Linked DNA regions of Alligator mississippiensis. The main gene of each other region encodes a partner of the protein of the gene in region 2 in a complex. Links are inferred from orthologs where the notes say so. Each region holds a gene or a part of one and is shown on either strand. Other genes may lie near its edges. The genes, in order: INKA1 and PAK4.

What was found.
Region 1: the proteins of PAK4 (region 2) and INKA1 are in contact, whole or in part, in a crystal structure (PDB 4XBU), measured with the Homo sapiens proteins. The link is inferred for Alligator mississippiensis from reciprocal best matches to the Homo sapiens genes PAK4 and INKA1. Residues at the interface, in NP_001014831.1 of Homo sapiens: Ser331, Gln358, Arg359, Glu361, Leu362, Thr404, Asp440, Lys442, Ser443, Asp444, Phe461, Leu475, Val476, Gly477, Thr478, Pro479, Tyr480, Trp481, Met482, Arg489, Glu507, Glu512, Phe516, Asn517, Glu518, Pro519, Pro520, Met524; in NP_976248.2 of Homo sapiens: Gly178, Arg179, Ser180, Arg181, Gln182, Pro183, Leu184, Val185, Leu186, Gly187, Asp188, Asn189, Cys190.

The regions. Positions count from the first base shown.
Region 1 is NC_081835.1:40,910,011-40,920,006, reverse strand, and holds the start of INKA1 (PAK4-inhibitor INKA1), read right to left. Parts: upstream 4,362-9,996; 5' UTR 4,264-4,361; coding exon 4,213-4,263; intron 1-4,212. Other genes in the region: CDHR4 (cadherin-related family member 4), read left to right, coding at 4,723-4,870. UniProt on the Homo sapiens protein: Inhibitor of the serine/threonine-protein kinase PAK4. Acts by binding PAK4 in a substrate-like manner, inhibiting the protein kinase activity.
Region 2 is NC_081838.1:1,207,577-1,217,343, forward strand, and holds the start of PAK4 (serine/threonine-protein kinase PAK 4), read left to right. Parts: upstream 1-5,881; 5' UTR 5,882-5,961; coding exon 5,962-6,121; intron 6,122-6,732; exon of another isoform or gene 6,733-7,845; coding exon of another isoform or gene 7,846-7,870; intron 7,871-9,767. UniProt on the Homo sapiens protein: Serine/threonine-protein kinase that plays a role in a variety of different signaling pathways including cytoskeleton regulation, cell adhesion turnover, cell migration, growth, proliferation or cell survival.

The DNA.
Region 1 (9,996 bases), on a different chromosome or scaffold from region 2:
CCTAGGTTGCGTGTAGAGCTGTGTGGGGAGCTGCATATACAGGCCCTGGCTGTCCCCCATGCACCCAGCCCTGAGGCAGCACTTCCTTGCCACTCCTGCGCAGGGCCTGGCCAGCATGTAGCAGCATGTCAGGGTGAGCAAGCAGCCGCCCCACCCCAATCTGCAGCTACAGCCCAAGTCCCAGCCTGCCAGGGACTGACACATTTGGGTGGGACACCACCTTGGCCCAATAGGAGGCCAGAAAGGTGCCAGACAGGGTGCACTGGAGCACCGAGCACTGGATGGTATAGGGGATAGGAGAGCCTTGCAAGTGGCCAGCCTGGACCTACAGGAAGTTCCCAGCTACTGCCCCGTATGAGACCCCAACTCTCATGTACAAAGCTGAGCTCCAATTGATGCCCACAATTTAAGGCAGAAAGCTGGAAATTCCCAGTGGGGCAAAAGGCCACACAAGCAGGCTGAAACATGATGAGGCACAACTTCCTAGGAGCCAAGTGTTTCCTGCAACAGCAGTCCTAGGCAATGCATAGTGCTCGGGGTACTCACAATTCTTAGAAGAAAGGGAATGGGGGCAGCCACACAGTGCCCAGGGGAGTCTAAAGCAGAGCCCACAGGGGGAGCCATCCTGCTTTGGGACACAATTGAGCTGAGCACCACAACATACAGCTCCTTACATAGACATGCTAGGTGGGGCAGAAAGAAAATGTACCACCCACCCCAAACTGCCCAGCAAGGTTCAGTACAACCTTGGCACTGCTTCTCACAAAGATAATTCTACTACTCACTGATGAAGTGAAAGGGGCTTTCCCATTGGGGTTCCCAAAGCCCATGGCCCATGTCATGCCCTTCATTTTCAGACAAGGGCTCAGCATAAGATGGATCCAGGGCTGAGGCTGACAAAGGTCATGGAGGGAGTCTGGCGGAGCTGGAGATTGAGTCCAGAAGCCCTGGCTTCCTGTTCATGCTCTCAGCACTAGACAATGTTCCCAGATACAGTTGGGGAGTAACCCCAGGAGGCCCAGTCTGCGACAACACATTTTGCATTTTGAGCTGTTCCAGCATAGGTTCTATCAAAAAATGGAACTCAAATCTTCCCTCACATTTCTCTATACCTTCTGAGCCCTCTCCTATACACATCTGTAATATGCTAAGTCCACACCAGCCCCAAATATTTGCAGATGTGATTTGAGAAGGTACTTCAGGAAGTGACTGGAGTAGGGATGTGACTTGATGTGAGGGGACCAGATGTCACAAGCCTCACCAAGAAAGGCTACACATAGCTTGCCACTCATTAAATAAGAATATGAAGCCTCAGTGTTTGGTCTTCCCAACACAGAACTCAGCCTGATGCCCACCCCAGCACCTTTGGATTGCAGCTCTTCCTCTGGGCTGTGGGGTGGGGCTATTCATGCTTTCATCCACCCCCACACACTTACAATACCTGCAAGCCATCATGCCCCACCCAGGCAGCTCTCCCAGGCACCTGGATTTATACTTCACAATCAGGTTTATTTCTGCTCAAGCACAAGCTGGTACTAGGGGGATCCAAAGTTGTTGGGACAGAAAGGCCTAATGCAGGGATCCACAAAGGATCCTTTTGTCTTTGCTGTGATAAGAAAAGCCCATGTTTACACCTGGGTGAGAAGTGCTTTTTGCATCCTGCAAAATGTTTATGAAAATGTTCACAGCCTGAGTCAGTTCAAAATTTTGAAATTTTAAAAACACTGTGGAGATAAAAATCCATACCACCATTTTGGTCCAGTTCAAAGAAACCACTTTGTGCTTGTTTCCCCATCAGCTGAAACCTAAACAGGGGCCAAACAGTCACAATTCCATGCCCCAACCCCCAAGCCTGCACTAAGAAGGTCAGACAGCTAGGAAACTCAGTAAGCCATGCCAATCCCAGGGGAACTATCCTCTACTCTGCTAGATGCTGCTGGCCTGATGCGAGTAGGATCTGCTCCCACTAGCACTGCACCCAGTACCCGTGTTGGTGTCACTGCAGAGGTGCACCTCCCCAGAGGCTTCTATCTCCATGAACCACCCTGAGCCACCAGTTGGGTGACATGACCCAGAAAACCCCAACAAAATTCCAAACTTTTGCTAGCTTCAGGAGACAAAAGCAAAAAATGAAGCATTCAGAGGAGCACAGTTTTGGATCCCAATCCCTCAGCCATTCCCTGAGCGTCCAACTTTGCCCCAAGATATCACCTCAGGCCCCAGCACTGCTCTTCTGGCTACAGTACCACCCAGCCCACCAAACACAACAGGAAGAGGCACAGCACAGCATATTGGGAGCAGAAGCTCAGGATTCAGAAAACTACAGGCCAGGGTAGGCCTGGGCCAGTGCCCTGTCTCCAGTAACACTGGAAGACTTGAGATGTAAACCAGAGGTAGCCAACCTATGGCACAGGTGGCACAATTGGCATGAGCAGCCTCTTTATATGGCATGAAGCAGACTGGGGATGGGACAAGCAACACAGTGGCAGACAGGACAGGAAGCAGAAAGCAGCTTGGTCAAGAAGTACAGGGCAGGGAGCAGAAAGCTGAGCAGTAGGCCAGGGAAGGGAAAGGGATGGACGTGGCACTTGGGGTGGGTGTGGGGCTCATTTGTGGCATGCCTGCCAAAAAGGTTGCCCCCCACTATTGTAAAACACTAGAATTGGAAACAACTGCCATGGGGATCAAAGATCAGAGCTTCTCAAATGTGGTAAGTTCCCCCAGGTGTCAGCTTGCAGGAGATCAGTGCTCCCCAATAACAACACTATTCTGAGACCCCAAAACCTGGTTTTGAAATGGTGAAGGGTCTGATCAAAAGCTCCTGGGGACATTTCTTATGTCTATAGCCTTAGCCAGGCAATTCCCAGAACTCAAGTGAGAGGAAATAGCAAGAGCAGACTCAGTGCAAGGTGACATTGGGCCCAAAAGATCTCATCCTCAGGAATCACTTTTTCCCAGTGCCCGCCTTGTCAAAATATAATGGTCTTGGGCATTAGGGTGTCAGAATTAACTAGTCCCATCTCTATGCTAACTGCCTTCCCGATTTCTGGTCTCACCCAACTCTGATATCACTAGCATCTTTGGCCTCACTGAGTCCCCAGGTCTGATGTCATTATGATGTCACTCAGCAACATTCTATTTCAAACCATCTTGAAATCCAGTGTAAAAATTCCTGCAAAGTACTTCTTTCTGAAGCATCAGGAAGGGAAGAGATGATCCATCACAGCCCACTGGTCTCCCCTGGACACTAACTACACAGAGCCACAGTGTGTGAAAGAGAATCATGCTGTCATGTGTTTGGATGTGTGTGGTGGGCACTCTGTATATGTACATGTATGTCTCTGTAGTGGGGGAGTCTGTGTATGTGTGTGCATGCGTGTGTGCATTTATGTGCATGCATGGTAGGGGTGTGCACATGCAAGTCAGGGACATGCTTGGTGAGGGAGGCTGTACTGAAGTTGCCTAGTGCATCACATGTGCCCCAAACCCAAGATTTTCTGAAGTAACCAGACTCTAGGACCCCTGAGACCCTTGTCTGAGAGTGGAGCCACAAAGGAGAAGAGGGGGCTTGACCTTACTGTCTTTTCCAGCCAGTCCCAGGGCCTGGCAGGACAAGCCCAGTGACTGCAGCCCCACAGGGTCAGCACTAAGAGACTAGGGCCAATGTCAGCCCCTTGCTCTGCTAAAGGCAAAGCTAGTCTGAGTGGTGAAGCCCCCTGGGACCGTGGGGCCCGAGCAGCAGCCTCGCACCCCCACCGACTGCTCTCAGCGTCACCCCATCCACCCACCACCCCAGGGAAGCGGGCAGGCAGGCACTGGCAGTCCTGCCACGAGGTGGCTCCTGCTACAGCCTCGACTTGCCAGCACCCCGGGAAAGCCGGCACTTGGCTCCGCCGCTCAGCTAGAGACAGCCCCGGGGCGAAGCGGCGCCCCCGAGCGGATGGGAAACGGTCCGTGCCAGCCTGCCCCCGTGCTCAGCCCAGCCCTGAGTGCCCGATGTCCTCAGCTCAGAGACCCCGTTCGCCCGCCCCGTCGCGAGCTGGAGCGGGGCTCGGCTCCACTTCCCTGCGCTCCCGCCCGGGTCCCGCCCGCAGCGACAAGGAGCCCGGCCTGAGCCCGCCCGGGAGCACCGCCGGCCGAGGCGAGGCGCGGGGCAGCCCCTGTCCCGCAGCGCAGCCCCGCCGGCCCCCGCGCCGCGAGCCCCGCACTCACCGCTTCGGAGCGGAGGTGGCCGGAGGAGACGTCCAGGCGGGCGCGGTGCATGGCAGGGCCGCCCCGCACGGAGGGTCCCGGACGGCCGCTTCGCTCCGTCAGCCCAGCCCAGCCCAGCCCGTGCCCGGGCGCGTCCCAGCGCACAGCCTGGCTCGGCCAAGGCCGCCCCCGCCCGGCGGCAGCCAATGGGCCCGGCGCTTCCCCGCCCCCCGCCCCCCGCCGGGCCCGGGCTGGCCAATGGGCGGGCGCTGGAAGGCGAGCTCCGCCCGGGGCGGGCAGGGCAGCGTGCCCGGCGGCCGCTGGCAGCGTGTCCCGGCCCAGGCGCGAGCAGCTGGCCCGGAGCAGGGCAGGGCAGGGCGGGCAGGTAGGAGCAGCCCGCAGCGGGCGGGCCCGGGGGGCTATGCCGCGGCTGCCGGACGCTGTATCACGCGTGCTGGTGGCGCGTTGCCGCTGCGCCCCGGAGACGGCCCTAGGGGCTGGGCCCCAGTGCGGGTCTGTTCTGTGAGGAGCATGGATGCTGTGCTGTGGCTGCACCCTGGGCCCTTCCCTGGAGCAGAGGGGCTGGGACAGATCCTGCTCCTCCTGCGAGACACGAGGGTGATCCTGCCCCAGTCTTCCTGCTCCAGTCCTTTGAAAAAACGTCCATGCATCTACTTTGGTAAGGGGTCCTCATTTCAACTGTGAGACCAAGGCACAGAAAGCACCCAGTGGAAGGTGGACTGTTTTTCGGGGATTTGAACAGGGTGGAACAAGAACGAGGTAGGCAGGTAACGGGAATAGGAGCTGACCCGATGTGTGGCACAGACAAGTGACAGAGGTAAGCTGCTGCCCTTCTAGTGTTCTTTCCCCCCAGGTCTGTACCTTGGCTCAGGTGCCTTGGAAAATATGTGGACCTCTGCTGTGACTGAGGAGAGCAGGAGGAGCACGACACAGGCCACGGAGCCAATGTGCATTGGAGGCTCCTTCTGTGCATTAACTGTGCAGTTTTTGGGGACTCCAAATCTCAGCACCCAGCTCCCCTACACTTGCTGGCACGAGCAGCCTGTCCACCGGGCCAGTGTTGTTTCCATAGACCAGGGCCAACTCAGGATGCTGAGGCCACATGTAGACCAGTGGACTCAACCCCTTGCTTTTGGCAGTGCATCCCAAGATGTACAAACAAGAATTGGCTATGACTGGTAGGTAAGAACAGTGGTATCAGAAAAGCCTTGTGCCAGAAAGGGACCTGTTGGCACAGCACTTGGTCAGAGGAAGGAGTGCTCTTAGGCTGACAAAGCATTGTCTCTATCACAGGTGCCTCTACCTTCCCAACGCTTGGGCAAGGAGCAGTGCCACAGGAGGAAGGCCATTCCCTGGGAACCAGAGGAACAGCCTTGACTCCCAGCCTGTAGCCTCCACCCCTTGCAATTGGCACCATGCCCTGACCCCCTCACTAAGGGCCTGTACAGTCCCAGCCAGGCCTGAGACAGCCCATTTCTATAGCAGGAAGCCAGGCTTTTCCTCACATGTCCAGGAGCAGCTGGGGCTGGCACTGGCAGGAGGGCAGTGCCTGGGAAGGGCATTGTGGGTATAGCTGCAGGGCAGCTGAGATGTTGTTAATCATTTTCAGCCCCAAATAAGTGGAACGAACACATGGTCATGCTCTCTGTGGGAGGAAGTGGGTCAGGAATCTGCCACCATGCATCTATATGTATGGCACAGATCAGCCTAAGCCTAGCGTACTTCCCTCAGCTTCAGGACAGCCCCCAGCCCTCCTTTTAGCCATTTCCCACTCCTGCCCTTGCTCACATGCACCCCACCATACTGGGATGGACCTTGGGCTCTTGTCCCAGCTGCTGGTACCCAGACTTTAGGCTTCCTTGTGCCAAGGCTCCTGGCAGTTTTGGGTGGTTCTGGACAGGCTACAGTGCATGCCCTTGGAGGACCCACTCTGTTAGAACTGCCTTGGTCAGGGCCATGGGACAAGCTGGGATCATGGTCTTTGACCTAGTACAGACACTAACTTTCTTACCCTCTGACAGTTGCAATAAACTTGGAGTATATAGACAAATAGGCTGGAAGGGACCTTCAGAGATCATCTAGTCCAGTGGTTCTCAAACTTTTTTTTTCACGGACCACTTGAAAATTGCTAAGTGTCTAGGCAGACCACTTAATAGACTTTTTTTTGTTCTACAAATCAAAGCACACAACTCATATTTTATATCAGTAGTCTTACCTTACAAGTACAGATATTCTCGATTGTTCCGCAGCCTTTCTGTGGACTACCTGAATGGAGCTCGTGGACCAGTGGTGGTCTGCAGACCACAGTTTGAGAACCTCTGATCTAGTCCAGCACCTATGACATGTTTCCAAGCTAGGGGAAACCAGTGCAATGACTGACATATAGGGCAATTGTAGGGGGGCTGGTCTGAGAGACAGGCAGCCTCCATGGCTACATATCTTGCTTCTGATCCACCCAGGCTCTGATCTTCCTCTGTCATCACATACCATATTTTCCAGAGCACCCATCCAGTCCCCACAATGGCATCTGCCAAGGGGACACTGCCTACCCTTGGAAAATGGTCAGAGTCCCCCCCCTCCCCGCTCCCTGATGATCCCTTTGTTTGTGAACCATCCCCAAGTGCAACCCTCTGACCCACCAGGGCCAAGAGCCAAGGCTAAACAGAGTGCTCTTTTCTGGCCATAGTATTTCAATCATTGGTGACGTGTAGGAGGTGCACGCGGGTGCATGTGTGCCCCCTGAGCGTAGTGGTGCGCCCCCTATGAAAAGGTACCCCTGACACTGTCGGTGGCGCCTGTGGGCGATTGCTACTCTCCACCCTCCCCCCCACCACTACCAACACTGCTGGAAGCATTTGCGGGCGGTCAGAGATTACCGCTGGCCACTGTCAACACTGCCAGAGGCATCTGTGGATGGTTGCCAACCCCTGGTTGGTGCTCGTCACCCCCCAGCTGCTGACAGTGCCAGTGGCATCTGCAGGAGCTTCCTGCTTACTGCATGCTCCTCCCCCAGCCGCCAAGGACACGTGTCATTCATGATTTCAATACTCAAGGCACTTGTGACGACTGACACCAAGATTCTCCAAGTCAGGAGTTCCAGCGCCCTTCACTCCCAACCTACAACCTGTGCTAGGCCAGCCCAGGGCTCCCTCAACACACAGCCCTGCTGTTACCCCTACCCATAGTCTCCTGCTAGCTGTGCCCTGGGTGCTCCCTCATCTCAGTTCTAGTGCTGTCCCTCATTCCCAACTCATAGCCTACCTCCTCTCCCAGCCCTGGCAGATGCACTGGTATAGCATGAGGTCTGTGCAGTTCTACAGGAACTACAGAGCCTGCCATAGGGCAGAGGACTGCTCTGCTTGGATCAGTGGGGAAACAGTAGTGCAAAGAGAAGCAAGGCTGCACAGGAGTTTGGGTTCCCCAGCTCTCCCTCCCTGGGTATCCCCTTCCTCAGAGGACCTGTGCCCCTGTGCTCTAGGGAAGGGTCCAATGGAAAAGAACAGGAATCGGCTCACCCAGACTGCTGGGTGCCCTCACTGTCCAGAGCATACTTCCCATGGGGGAGTGTCACAGAGACAAGCCAAGGAAAAGGCAGTCGGACATGAGCAAAGGCTAGCTTCGTTTTGAGCACTAGGGATCTGACTCAACTTCCCACCAGTCAGCGAAATGGGAGCACCCTCTGGTGGCCACACGGCCAGATGCTGTGCTGGCTCTAGGCTGGGATGTGTGGAGTTAGGGCTGTAAACTTGCTGCATCAGAGAGCAACAGGTCTGATTTTAACCCTGCTTATGTTATGCAAGTTCACCTATAGCTATGGTCTACACTCTACAATGGTAATGTTGTAGATTCATAGATTCATAGATGTTAGGGTCGGAAGGGACCTCAATACATCATCAAGTCCGACCCCCTGCATAAGCAGGAAAGAGTGCTGGGTCTAGATGACCCCAGCTAGATACTCATCCAACCTCCTCTTGAAAACCCCCAGGGTAGGGGAGAGCACCACCTCCCTTGGGAGCCCATTCCAGACCTTGACCACTCGAACTGTGAAGAAGTTCTTCCTAATGTCCAATCTAAATCTGCTCTCTGCTAGCTTGTGGCCATTGTTTCTTGTAACCCCCGGGGGCGCCTTGGTGAATAAATACTCACCAATTCCCTTCTGTGCCCCCGTGATGAACTTATAGGCAGCCGCAAGGTCACCTCTCAACCTTCTCTTGCGGAGGCTGAAAAGGTCCAGTTTCTCTAGTCTCTCCTCGTAGGGCTTGGTCTGAAGGCCCTTAACCATACGAGTGGCCCTTCTCTGGACCCTCTCCAGGTTATCCTCATCCTTCTTGAAGTGTGGTGCCCAGAATTGCACGCAGTACTCCAACTGCAGTCTGACCAGCGCCCGATAGAGGGGAAGTATCACCTCCTTGGACCTATTCGTCATGCATCTGCTGATGCACGATAAAGTGCCATTGGCTTTTTTGATGGCTTCGTCACACTGCTGACTCATGTTCATCTTGGAGTCCACTAGGACTCCAAGATCCCTTTCCACCTCTGTGCCACCCAGCAGGTCATTCCCTAGGCTGTAGGTGTGCTGGACATTTTTCCTCCCCAGGTGCAGCACCTTGCATTTCTCCTTGTTGAACTGCGTCCTGTTGTTTTCTGCCCACTTGTCCAACCTATCCAGGTCTGCCTGCAGCTGTTCCCTGCCCTCTGGCGTGTCCACATCTCCCCATAGCTTTGTGTCATCTGCAAACTTGGACAGAGTACATTTCACTCCCTCGTCCAAGTCACTGATGAAGACATTAAAGAGTATCGGTCCAAGGACCGAGCCCTGCGGGACCCCACTGCCCACACCCTTCCAGGTCGAGACCGACCCATCCACCACGACTCTCTGGGTGCGACCCTCAAGCCAATTCACCACCCACCGGACTGTGTAGTCATCCACATCACAGCCTCTTAACTTGTTCACCAGTATGGGGTGGGATACCGTATCGAAGGCCTTCCTGAAGTCTAAGTATACAACATCCACCCCTCCTCCTGTGTCCAGGCGTTTTGTAACCTGGTCATAGAAAGAGACTAGATTGGTCAGGCACAATCTGCCCACCACAAACCTGTGCTCCCACCACCCCACTGGGCACAGGCCCCAGGCTCCGTGCTCCTGCCAGTCCCAGCCCCATGGTCCGCGCTGCCACCCAGCTGCAGCTTCCCTACCTGCTGCCTGGAGCAAGCACTGCAGCTGGGGCATGATGAGGAGCCTCTGGAAGCCAGGAAAGCTGAGCAGGTTCCCTGGCAGCTGCAGCAGACAGGGCACCTGGAAGCTGTGCATGCTGGCTGGGGCTGGGGTCAGGGCCCTCCTGTGTAGGAGGGTGGGAGCAAAGTGCACCAGTGGGCTGGAGGTATAATTAATTGGTGGGTGCCCGCAGGACAGATGAAATTGCCTAGCAAGCCGGATCTGGCCCCTGGGCAGTATTTTGCCCACCACTGCCATAGATCCATCTTGCCCTGTATCCTGTGTCACATAGTGGCTGAGAGCAGATGCTTAAAGGAAGAGTGAATTGGATATGACCAGGGTTTTTTCCACTGTTCCTCTCCCACTTGTAGCCTTTAGCATTGAGGGTCTAGGAAGTTCTGATTCTAGGGCTGTACCCCTAATTCACATGCTCAATAGCCATTGAGGCACCTTTCCTCCAAGAATTTGTCCAATCCCTTTTTGAATCAGTTAAAGTGTCAGCTTCTACAGTGTCTGGTGGCAATGAGTTTAATTACACACTGTGTAAAAAAGAACTTCCTTTTGTTAAT
Region 2 (9,767 bases):
GTTGCTGTTTTAGTTCCACACCCGGCATTGCCATGAGGACACTTGGGGCATTGGATCAGGGTCATCGCATTTGGGGAAAAACATGCACAAACCCTGATGGTTTCTTTATGGGGGTGTTGCTAGCACACCAGTGGAGATGGACTGATGGGTTCAGCGTTATTTGCCTAGATAAAGCCGTCTCTACTTGATGTCTGCTGGGCAGTGGAGAGTTTGAGCTGGGCCACACTGGGGCGGGGGGCAATGTTTGAAAGCCAGGAGCGGAGGGGCTGGGAATGTCTGATCGCTGAAGGCTGTGGCTGTTTGACGATTCTCCACTGGTGTGGTCGATCCAATCCGAAACAGGGCCCTGCACCTCCTCTGCATCCACCCCTGGGCTAGAGGAAGGGAGTCAGGCGAGAAGCAGCTTTCTGGGAAGTAGCGTGGGGGGTGCCCAGGGCTTGGGTTTTGTCCTGGCTCCAAAGCAGACGCCGCTAAGGATGAATCTCACTCCTGCCGGCATCCCTCTTATGCAGACAGCCAGCTCCATGCCCTTTTGCTTGCCCTTAGCACGATCCAGCCAGCTGTCCATGGCTCCCCGACATGCTAAAACCTTGCTAAGAAACCCGCAGAGGCAACCGCCTTCCCAATGGGCCTGCTCTCCACTGCTGCTCTTGTCCTGGTGCTTACCCTGCAGTGGTATCAGATTAGCCAGCAACGGGTTATGGCGGCCTGCTTTTCCCCCTGCCAGCCCATGAGTTCTTGGCACCCAGCCTCTGGGCGGAGGGGGGAGCTGGGCATTGTCTTCCCTCTGCCCGCCCAGATCAGGGCAGATCTGTTGAGCCTGGAAAAACCTGTTCTGTAGCTGTTGGGCACAGAAATGCAGAGGCCTTTCCAGGCACCTGCCTGCTCAGGATTTCCAGCTGGGGAAGGCTTTAAAAAGTTTCACCTTCTCCTGCTTCAGCTCCTGGGTTTTGCGGCACATTTGTCCTAAGATCTGTTGTACTGGATCCGCCCCTAGGTCTGTCTTGCCTGTCTCCTGTGTCACGCGGCGGCAGAGCGTGGAGCTGGAAGGCAGAGTATGGGGGTCTGAGCAGGGTTGCCCCCCACCTCCTTGCAGCCATCGACGGTCCAGGACATTCTCATTCAGAGGCTGTGCCCCAGAGCTCCCAGTGCCCCTTTCTTCCAGGACCTGGACCAGTCCCTTCTGAATTGGGCTAAACTCCGCTTCCCCCACATCTGGTGGCCATGAGCTCCCCCCTTCCATCCCACACTGGGGGGAAACGACCATCCTGGTGTTCATTTTAAACTGGTCCTTTCATGCCGTAACCCTTCATTCTTGCCTGGCGAGAGATGGCCCAGAGTAAATCCCCACTGAGCTTCTCTTCCTTGCTTAGTACTTTGTAAACTCGTATTATGCCCCCCATTGAAGCGTCTCCTTTTGTAACCGGGCCCGGCCTGGCCTTGTTAGTCTCTCCTCATAGGGAAGCCACCTCCATAGCCCTGATCATTTTTGTTGCCCTTGTTTTAGGGTTACTTTGTCTTGAGGATCTGGCGTGCTCAGAGCTAGGATTTTGAAAAGCGGGGTGCAGGCGGTGCTTCATCACATGTGACACGACCAGGGATGGATGCAGAGGGGGTGCAGTGGCCTGCCTGCATCCCCCCCTTCAGACTGGTCCGTGTTGCCAGAGCCTCTGACAGCACTCAAACGAAGGGGTAACGTTCGTTAGACCCCGCGAAATCTGCCCCGAAACCAGGCTCTGTTCTGGGCTCTTTAAAAGTGGTTGCCATGAAACCTTATGATCAGGTTGATCTCATTAGCCAAGTTTATCTCCTGGATGAAGGCGCAGGAGCGCGGTGGGTTGACTGAGGGATTATCTTGGCGGTAGCTTGATGGTCGAGGGAATATGAGGAAGACCAGGTTTACTCGGGACCTTTTTTATTGCACCTGCTGTATGGGTGGGAGGTGTTAGGTGAACCTTCAGGGCCCACATGCCCTTCTCGGGGCCGGGAATCCTCCTGGATTGCGCTCGGATGGTCGGCGATGCAGACGTGAGCAGGTGAGGGTGATGATGTTGCTGTGGTGAGGATTTGGGGATGAAGCTGTTTCATGTGACGGGCTTTGATTTTTCAAAACGTCAGTGGGGTTCCCTAGGTCTCCCTGTGGGGGGGACATCTAGCTTCAGGCATGTCTGCCCCGTGCCCAGGGGATGTCCAGCTCCATGCACACATCCCCCCTGCCTCCTTCTGCTTCATGTATCGGGGGTTTTAAGCCTCCCCCAGAGGTGCTGGGCTGGGGATGGGCCAGTGGTCCCACGGGGTCCTGGCTGGAGGGTCTTGCCCCTCTGCTCAGAGCCGGACTGATGCTGCACTGGGGGCAGGAAGGGATTTCCCCTCCTGCTTGGACTGGCACAACTGGGGGGGTTGCCGTTCTCTGTAGCAGGGGCACGGCCTCTACCTGGGGTCTCTGGAGCGCCTTTGGCAGCAGCAGGATGTTGCCCCCACACCCTCCTGCTTTCTCTGCGGCAGATTCGGGTGCAGTGCCCGGTGTGGTGTCAGGGCTGGCGGTCGCGCTGCTCAGAGGTTTGACCCTGGGTTTGTCTGGGCTGGTTTGGACGGGGTGGATCCTGCCTCAGGCCGGGGGTCGGATTAGCTGTGACCTCTGGAGCTCCCTTCCCCCCCACTTCTCTGCAGTTTCTCTGAAAACCGCCCCAAGCCGAGACGCACGCAGCCCCAGCGTTCTCTGGGTTTTAGTGGCGGTCTCTTTATTTTTTTCCCCAAAGGAATTAAAAACAGACTAAGATCCACGCTCAGCCCCAATCCCTGCCGGGGGCTCCAGTGCTTTCTTTCCCCCTGGGAGGGAATCAACCCGTGCTGAGCCGCTGGAGCTAAGGATGTGTTTGGTGTTTCTCCGGGCTCTCTCCCTTCTTCCTGCCCCGAGAACTGTTTGCTACTTCACAGCACCAGGATTGATTTCTCTCTGAATGCCTCCGCGGCTTTGATGGCCTCCCTTCCCTTCCCTCACGTGGCCCCTTCCCCGTAGAGCGATGATTGGTCTTGAACCCAGGCCTGCCCCTTTTCCTCCCAAGGGTGCTGGGTGAGTGCCAGCAGATGCTAGCAAGGGGCGATCACTCCAGACGTGCCCCGTTCATCTGCTGTCATCTGCCGCCGCCGCGACGGGGGAGCCAAGCCCCTCCACGGTGGGGGTGCAGATAATCGCATGGGAAGCCGGGAGGAGGAGGGCAGGTGCGAGGCTAGGAACCAGGGGCCGCAGGAGGATAATCAGATGGGAGCTAAGCATTGCTGATCCTCACGTGTACTCGTGCTGTCGTGCGACCCAGCGGATCAGACCTCTCCCCCACCCCAGTTCCCTTCCCGTCAGCCTCTGAACGGCCGTGGCGAAAACTCCCCGACCACAACATCACACAGGATGGAAAGGATCCGTGTCTGGACGCCTCCATCTACTAAGGCTGACAGCTCCTAGAAATCCCCCTTTTTTCCAGCAAGTCTGCAGACTTGCCGGCTCTCTCTGTCCTCCACCTCCCCAGTCTGCTCTGCAAGACACCCGAAAGGCTGTTCAGCACCGCAAGAGAGAATTGGCTTTTGCAAATAAAGCTGCGGGGGGAAAAAAAAAAGGGTGTGGGTGGTTTTGGCTTTCAGTTGCCAAATACTTTTCCTGGGCTGTCCCCTCTTCCCCGTGCGATTCTGGGCCGGCTTCCAGGGAGCAATGAAAGCACCCGACAGCGGCAGGAGCGTTCGGAAAGGGGGAGTCTGAGCTGCCTGGTAGGAGCTGATGTGTAAGACTGCAGACCAGAGCAGCAGGACCCTGCCAGCCCCCGGGGCAGATCCAGGGCTATCTTGGGGTAACGTGTGATCGGGCTGCGGGGTTGTGTTAGGACTGGGTCAGACCAGGCCGTGTCTGGGAGGGTTTAGACGGGGCTGATCCTGCCTGGAGCAGGAGGCCGGACTCTGTGACCTCCAAGGGGACAGTGCTGGCCCGCGGTTTGAAGACCTCACATTGCAGGGGCTTGTGTCGAACCTCTCCTGCTCCCTCTTGTCACGGCAGAAAGAACTGGGGTGATTTGGTATGGAGCAGAGAAGGCCGAGAAGCGGGGATTTGACCCCTTGAAGGCCGCTCGGCAGAGGATGGAGACAGACCCTTCTCTGCAGGGACAGGTGGGCAGGACTCGGAGCAACGGCCTCAAGCTGCAGCAGGGACAGTGAGGTTGGACCCCAGCACCCTATTCGTTCATCCCCCGGCCCCACGGGTGTCTGAAGTGGGAATTGGGGGGTCTCTGGGCCTAGATCCTGCCTGCGCCACGTGGCTTTAAACCTTCCAGTGCTGATGGCGGCTCTGGTTTTCTGCTGCCCTCAACGCCTCTCCAAGCACGTTTGTGACTTAACTGGGTTGAATCCAGGGTGTTTCCCTTCTCCAGCGAAGGCAGCGGGGGGTGCGCGGACTGGCTCTGACAAGCGGTAGGATTTGGGGCCTGATCTAGCTGCGTTCCAGTTCCAAGCAGAGAGTCAGAGAGGAGCAGGGCTGGAAGGGACCCCCAGAGGTCACGGCTAGTCTAACCCTGGCCTGAGGCAGGATCAGCCCCGTCCAAACCAGCCCAGACAAACCCAGCATCGAAACTCTGAGCAGCACGACCGTTGGCCCTGACACTGCCCCGGGCATCGCCCCAAATCTGCCGCAGGGAAAGCAGGGCTGCGGGAGCAACGTCCTGCTGCTGCAAAGGAGCGTCATGGATGCTTCAGAAACCCCAGGGCGAGGCCGTGCCCCCGCTGCAGAGGAAGGCAAACCCACCCCCAGTCCGGACCAGGGGGGAAATCCCTGCCCCAGTGAAGCCTCAGGCTGAGCCTGAGCGCAGGGGCTAGATCCTCCAGCCTGGCCCCTGCGGGGTTGGTTGGCACAGCCCAACCCCACCCCCCAACACATGGAGCAGAAAGCGGGGTGGGGGGGCGGCACCCAGCAAAGCCCAGAAGCCTGGGACATCCCCAGAGGACATCAGATCACCCCCACAGCTTCCCTGGTCGTCTGTTCCTCTGCCTCCGGCTCTGCTGTGCACCTGCTGGGGCCGGGCGGGTTGCGGGGGCGCTGTACTGGGGCTTTCTCTCTCTAGCGGCGAGTCTGAGCCTGGACCCCCGGAGGTGGTTGCTTTGCCTTTCTCCAGTGCCCAGGGCTGCTCCCTGCCCCCAGCAGGTCCTGCAGCAGGAGGCTGCGGGGCCTTCTGTTCTCCTCGGCTCCTTCCCCATCTTTAAAACGGGACACTGGGATGCGCTGGATCCCGGAAGGAAAGAGTTTGTCCTGGGAGAAACCCGAATTCTCAGCTCTGCAGAGGGTTTAAACGGCCCTCCCGGGTCATCTGGTTGAACCGGGCACCCGGCAGCCTCTCCCCCAGCCATGGGATCATCCACACTGGCGCCGGAGTTGTGTCTACACTAGGGCTCCATTGGGAAATGCCTCTTTGTGCCGCCTTCTCTGCATCGAGGGGGAGGAGAGAGTCCGGCGCAGAGCAATGTGGGACAGACCCGGAGCTGGGGTGGTTTCGTCGGGGCTGGACTCGACATGACCCCACTGATGCCCAGGGTTGCCAACGGGGCGGATTTTAGGACTTTCCTACCACCGGCGAGGTGGGTTTTTGCAGCCGAGGGAGGAGGCGTGTGTGCTGCGAATGCCCGGGCTCTGGACGTGCCGGGCGGGCAGCCCCATGGTCTGTGGGTCTGGGGGCTGCCCCCAGCACCTGCCTGGGGTGGGTTTTTGGGGGTGGGCTCTGCCTTGCCCCGCCCTCCAAGGCCAGCACCTGAGTGGCCGCTTTGTTTTCAAACCTTGCTCTCCCATTGGCTGCGGGCACCAATCCCCCACCCATCCCCACTCCCGATTTTAACCCTTGGGTGCCTGGTGGGTTATGCAGCACTCCAGCCAGCTTCCTTACCCCCTCTCCCCCCTTTTCCCAGTATCTGAGTATTTCTGGCCTCCGGGTGATGTGGGTTGTGGGGGGGAGCCCCTCCCTGCCACCTAGAAGACCCCAGTATAAATGGTTGGTGGGCACGTTCCCAGCTGTCATGCCCTGCCGCACGGAGGGGGAGCCTGCAGGGAACCGGGTCCTCTCTCCGCCTAATTTTGCCTTTCTCCCAGCTGCACGTGAGGCTTTCCCAGGGGTTCAGTGGGTGTGTGTGTGGGGGGGTCCTTGTGCCGGGAGGGGGTCAACAGCCAGGATGTGGGTGGACATGGGACCTGGGGGATGCGGAGGGCAGAGACTGGGACCAGGGGACCCAGATGGGCGCGGGGTAGGGCGCTGGCTCCTCCTGGTACTAACACCCGCCAGGGCCCAGGAGGAGGAGGGCAAAGGTCCCATGGGGCAGTTGGCAGGAGAGAGATGCCTCCCCCAGACAAGACACTTCCACGGGGTGGGGGGACGTGGCTGGCTGTTTAGGGAGGTGGGGGCTCCCTTACGTCCCACCTTCTTGGGGTGGGTGCAAGGGGGTCGGTGGCCTCCTGGGCGCGTATTCTTGGGAGCCTGCCTGGATTTCGGAGGCCGGGGCGGCGTCTTGGAGTCTGGGCTGCGCTGTTTATTCCCCGGTTCCTCCATGGCTAAATAATGCAAGGGGGCGAGGAGATCAAGGGAGCACCGCCGGGCCCGGGGCAGCCTGGCTCCCGGCTTCCTGCCGCGGCCAGGGGGGCTTGGGCAGAACACAGCGGGGAAGCTCTTTGGTGGTGGGAGGGATGTGTCACGGACACCTGGGTTCTGTGTGCGTGTATTTGTGTGTGTATCCGTCACGGACACCTGGGTTCTGTGTGTGTGTTTCCTGGACACCGGGGGGGGGTGTCTGTGTCACAGACACCTGGAGGTGGGTGTGCACATTTCCTGCATGCCTGGGTTCTGTGTGTGTGTGTGTGTGTGTGTGTGTGTGTTTTCCGAATGCCTGGGTTCTGTGTGTGTGTGCATCCTGGATTCCCAGGTCGTGTGTGTGTGTCCTGGATGCCTGGGTTGTGTGTGTGTATCCATCCAGGACACTTGGGTTGTGTGTGTCCGTGTCCTGAATACCTGGGAGGGTGCGTGTCCATGTGCCTATCTGTCCCAGACATCTGGGTTGTACGTGTTTCCTGGATGCCTGGGTTCGTTCTGCGCGTGTGTCTTGGATGCCTGTGTTGTGTGTGTATGTGCACAGGTGTGTGTTCTGAAGGCCTGGGGTCTGTGTGTGGGTGGAGCTGGAGGGTTGAGGATTGGGCTGAGCAGGCCAATTTGGGGTTAAAGATGTCTATGAGAGCAAGGCAGGCTGGGTTCTAGGCTTGGGGGAAGCAGAAGGGACACGACCTGGGTTCATGACCTCGGTTTTAGGCTCAGGATGGCCAGGGCCACTCCCCCCCCTGCAGCCCCGGCCAATTACTTTGTAGCTCCGTGCCTCAGTTTCCTTCTCTGCGCACGGGGGAAGATGCTCCTCTCCCTCTCATTCAGGCCAGGCTGTCCTGGGGCAGTAGCCAGTCCAGGACCTTGGAACGTGCCTGCGAGCCCTTGGCAACCGAAAGCCGGCTGCGTTTTGGGGCCAGCCCCTTTGGAGCACTTCTCTCTCCCCGACAGAGGTGCCTCAGCTCCCTCCTGCCGCGGGCGGGAGGGCAGCGCAGCCCAGTGCCCGCTGGGAGGGGACGGGTGAATCAGAGGCCAGGACTCCAGGAACCCGCGTGGGTGGCACTGCGCCCCACCCCGCCCCGGGGCCTGTCATCCTGGCGAGCCCCCAGCCGGCCCGGCCCAGAAGGAGGGGGCCTAAAGCCGTGCGGCTGGTTTGGGGAAGCCATTAGCCAGGAGACAGAGCCTGGACTCGTTCTCCAGGGGCCTGGGCGTACTGAGGGCCCCGAGACGGGCCGCGATGAGGTCCCACGACGAATGGGCATGTAAGTTCCTCCTGGCTCTCGGCCGCTGCCCCCCAGATCTTCCCCTCGCCAAGGCCACACTTCTCCCTGCCTCCCTCCCCGCTCTGGGCACCCAGCCCTGCAGGGAGCCAGCCCCGGGTGATGACGAATAGGTTGGGACCTCTGGGGTGTGCTGGAATTTCCCCCTGCTCTACAGCTCGCCGTCAGGGCTCAGACAGGATCCAGGCACTTCCATGGTGCCCCTGCAGAGCATTTCCCCCCTGCTCAGGTGGCGCGTTGCACTCGGGCAGGCCGCGGGGTTAGCCCTGGGGCCATGGCGTCTTTGCCAAGGGCATCAGGGAGGTAGAGGCAGGGGGCACAGATGGCACCGGCCGCTGCTTCTCTCCCGAACCACAAAAACGCCCGCAAGCCGGACTGTCTCCTCGCTGCCTGGGTTTCGGGGGCTTTACAATGAATCTGTCCCCGTCATGTCATGTGAGCAGGAGGGGGGGAAAGCAGCAGACTGCCGGAAGTGCCTGGGGAGGGGGCGGGGGGCAGTCACCCCCCCACTTCGAGTCCTGTTTACACAAACCAGGCAGGGGCAGCGGCATTTCTATCCAAGCAGCAGCCAAGGTGTCAATTGACTTTGCGGCTTATTATCATCATCTGGGTTCCTGCTAATCTCTCCGCTCCATGGGTGTGAACGGCCCTTTCTCCTTTCCTAATGGTCTTGATGTTCCACTCTTCAAGCTCGCCTTTTCTCTGCTTGCCTGCCCTTCCTGCGACCCTCTCTCCTCCTCTCCCCAGCCCTGCAGGCCATTTGTAGCTCTAGCTCCAGCCCTTCGCGCCGTCGCCGTCGCAGGGGCGTATTGGAGGCACTCAAGAAATCACGGTTTTGGTGTGTGGCGCCAAATAAGAGATGTCCAATGAACTGTTCCCGGCCGCAGGGCTCGTGACGCAGCGGCTTTTGGCTTTTTCTGGCGCGTCGTGTTCTGGTTCTTTTGTTTTAAAACTTGATAGATCATCTAGCAAACGAGCATGCGGGCCGTAGCTCTGGTGGTCTTTGCTATGCTTTTAACTGGGATCATCTAGTGTCAGCCTCGCTCCTTATTAATTAAGCTTCTGGTTTTGCTTCAGCTGCAGAAAAATAGCGGTTGAGCCTTACAGGATGATGTGCCCATGCCAGGTGCACCCACCTTTCCAAAATCCTAGATCCGCCCAGGCCTGGAGATGTCTCTTGCGTTCCCCCACCTCCATGATCTAGGTCTGGTTGTAGCCTGCGAGCTGCTGTTCAGCTAGAGAAGCCTCTGCAGCCAGGAAAACCTGTGCCTCTCATCTCCGGAGCCAAAACTTTCTCTTAGCCGTGGCCTGGATGCCTTGGACCCGGGAGGGGAGAAACCCCGGCCTCCACGGTTCATGCTTGGGGTGGTGGGAGGCTCTGAGCCATCAGCTTCTCTCGGATCTGTGCCAGGTTACCAGGACCACGTCTTGAGCGGTGTCTAGGGGGGACCCTGTCCTGCCCGCGGAGAAACACGCAGGTTCATGCCTGCCTGGAGAACCAGCAGCCCTGACTGGAGGATCTCCCTCTCCCTCCTTCCCTTGCACTGGGTGGGCTTTGACCTGGCTGGATGGAGTTGCCTGCCCCCCCAGGAGAGGACAGAAAGCAGCTTTCAGGGGCACATACGAGCACTGCCTGGTGCCTCCCCGCCAGCACGGATGCAGGGCCAGAGCTGGGTGTGGGGGGTGTTCTTGGGTCTGTGCATCCAGGAGGACAGGCCTCCAGGTCTGTGCTGGCCCCCGCTGGCCCCGATGCCTGCTGGGCCCTGCCTGTGCCTCACCTGAGCCTGGAAGCGCCCGGGGTCCTGGAGCCTGAGTAAGGCTGGTTCAGGAGAGGAAGGGCCGGCCGGCCGGGCCCCGTGGGAGGAAAGCCCATAAACAT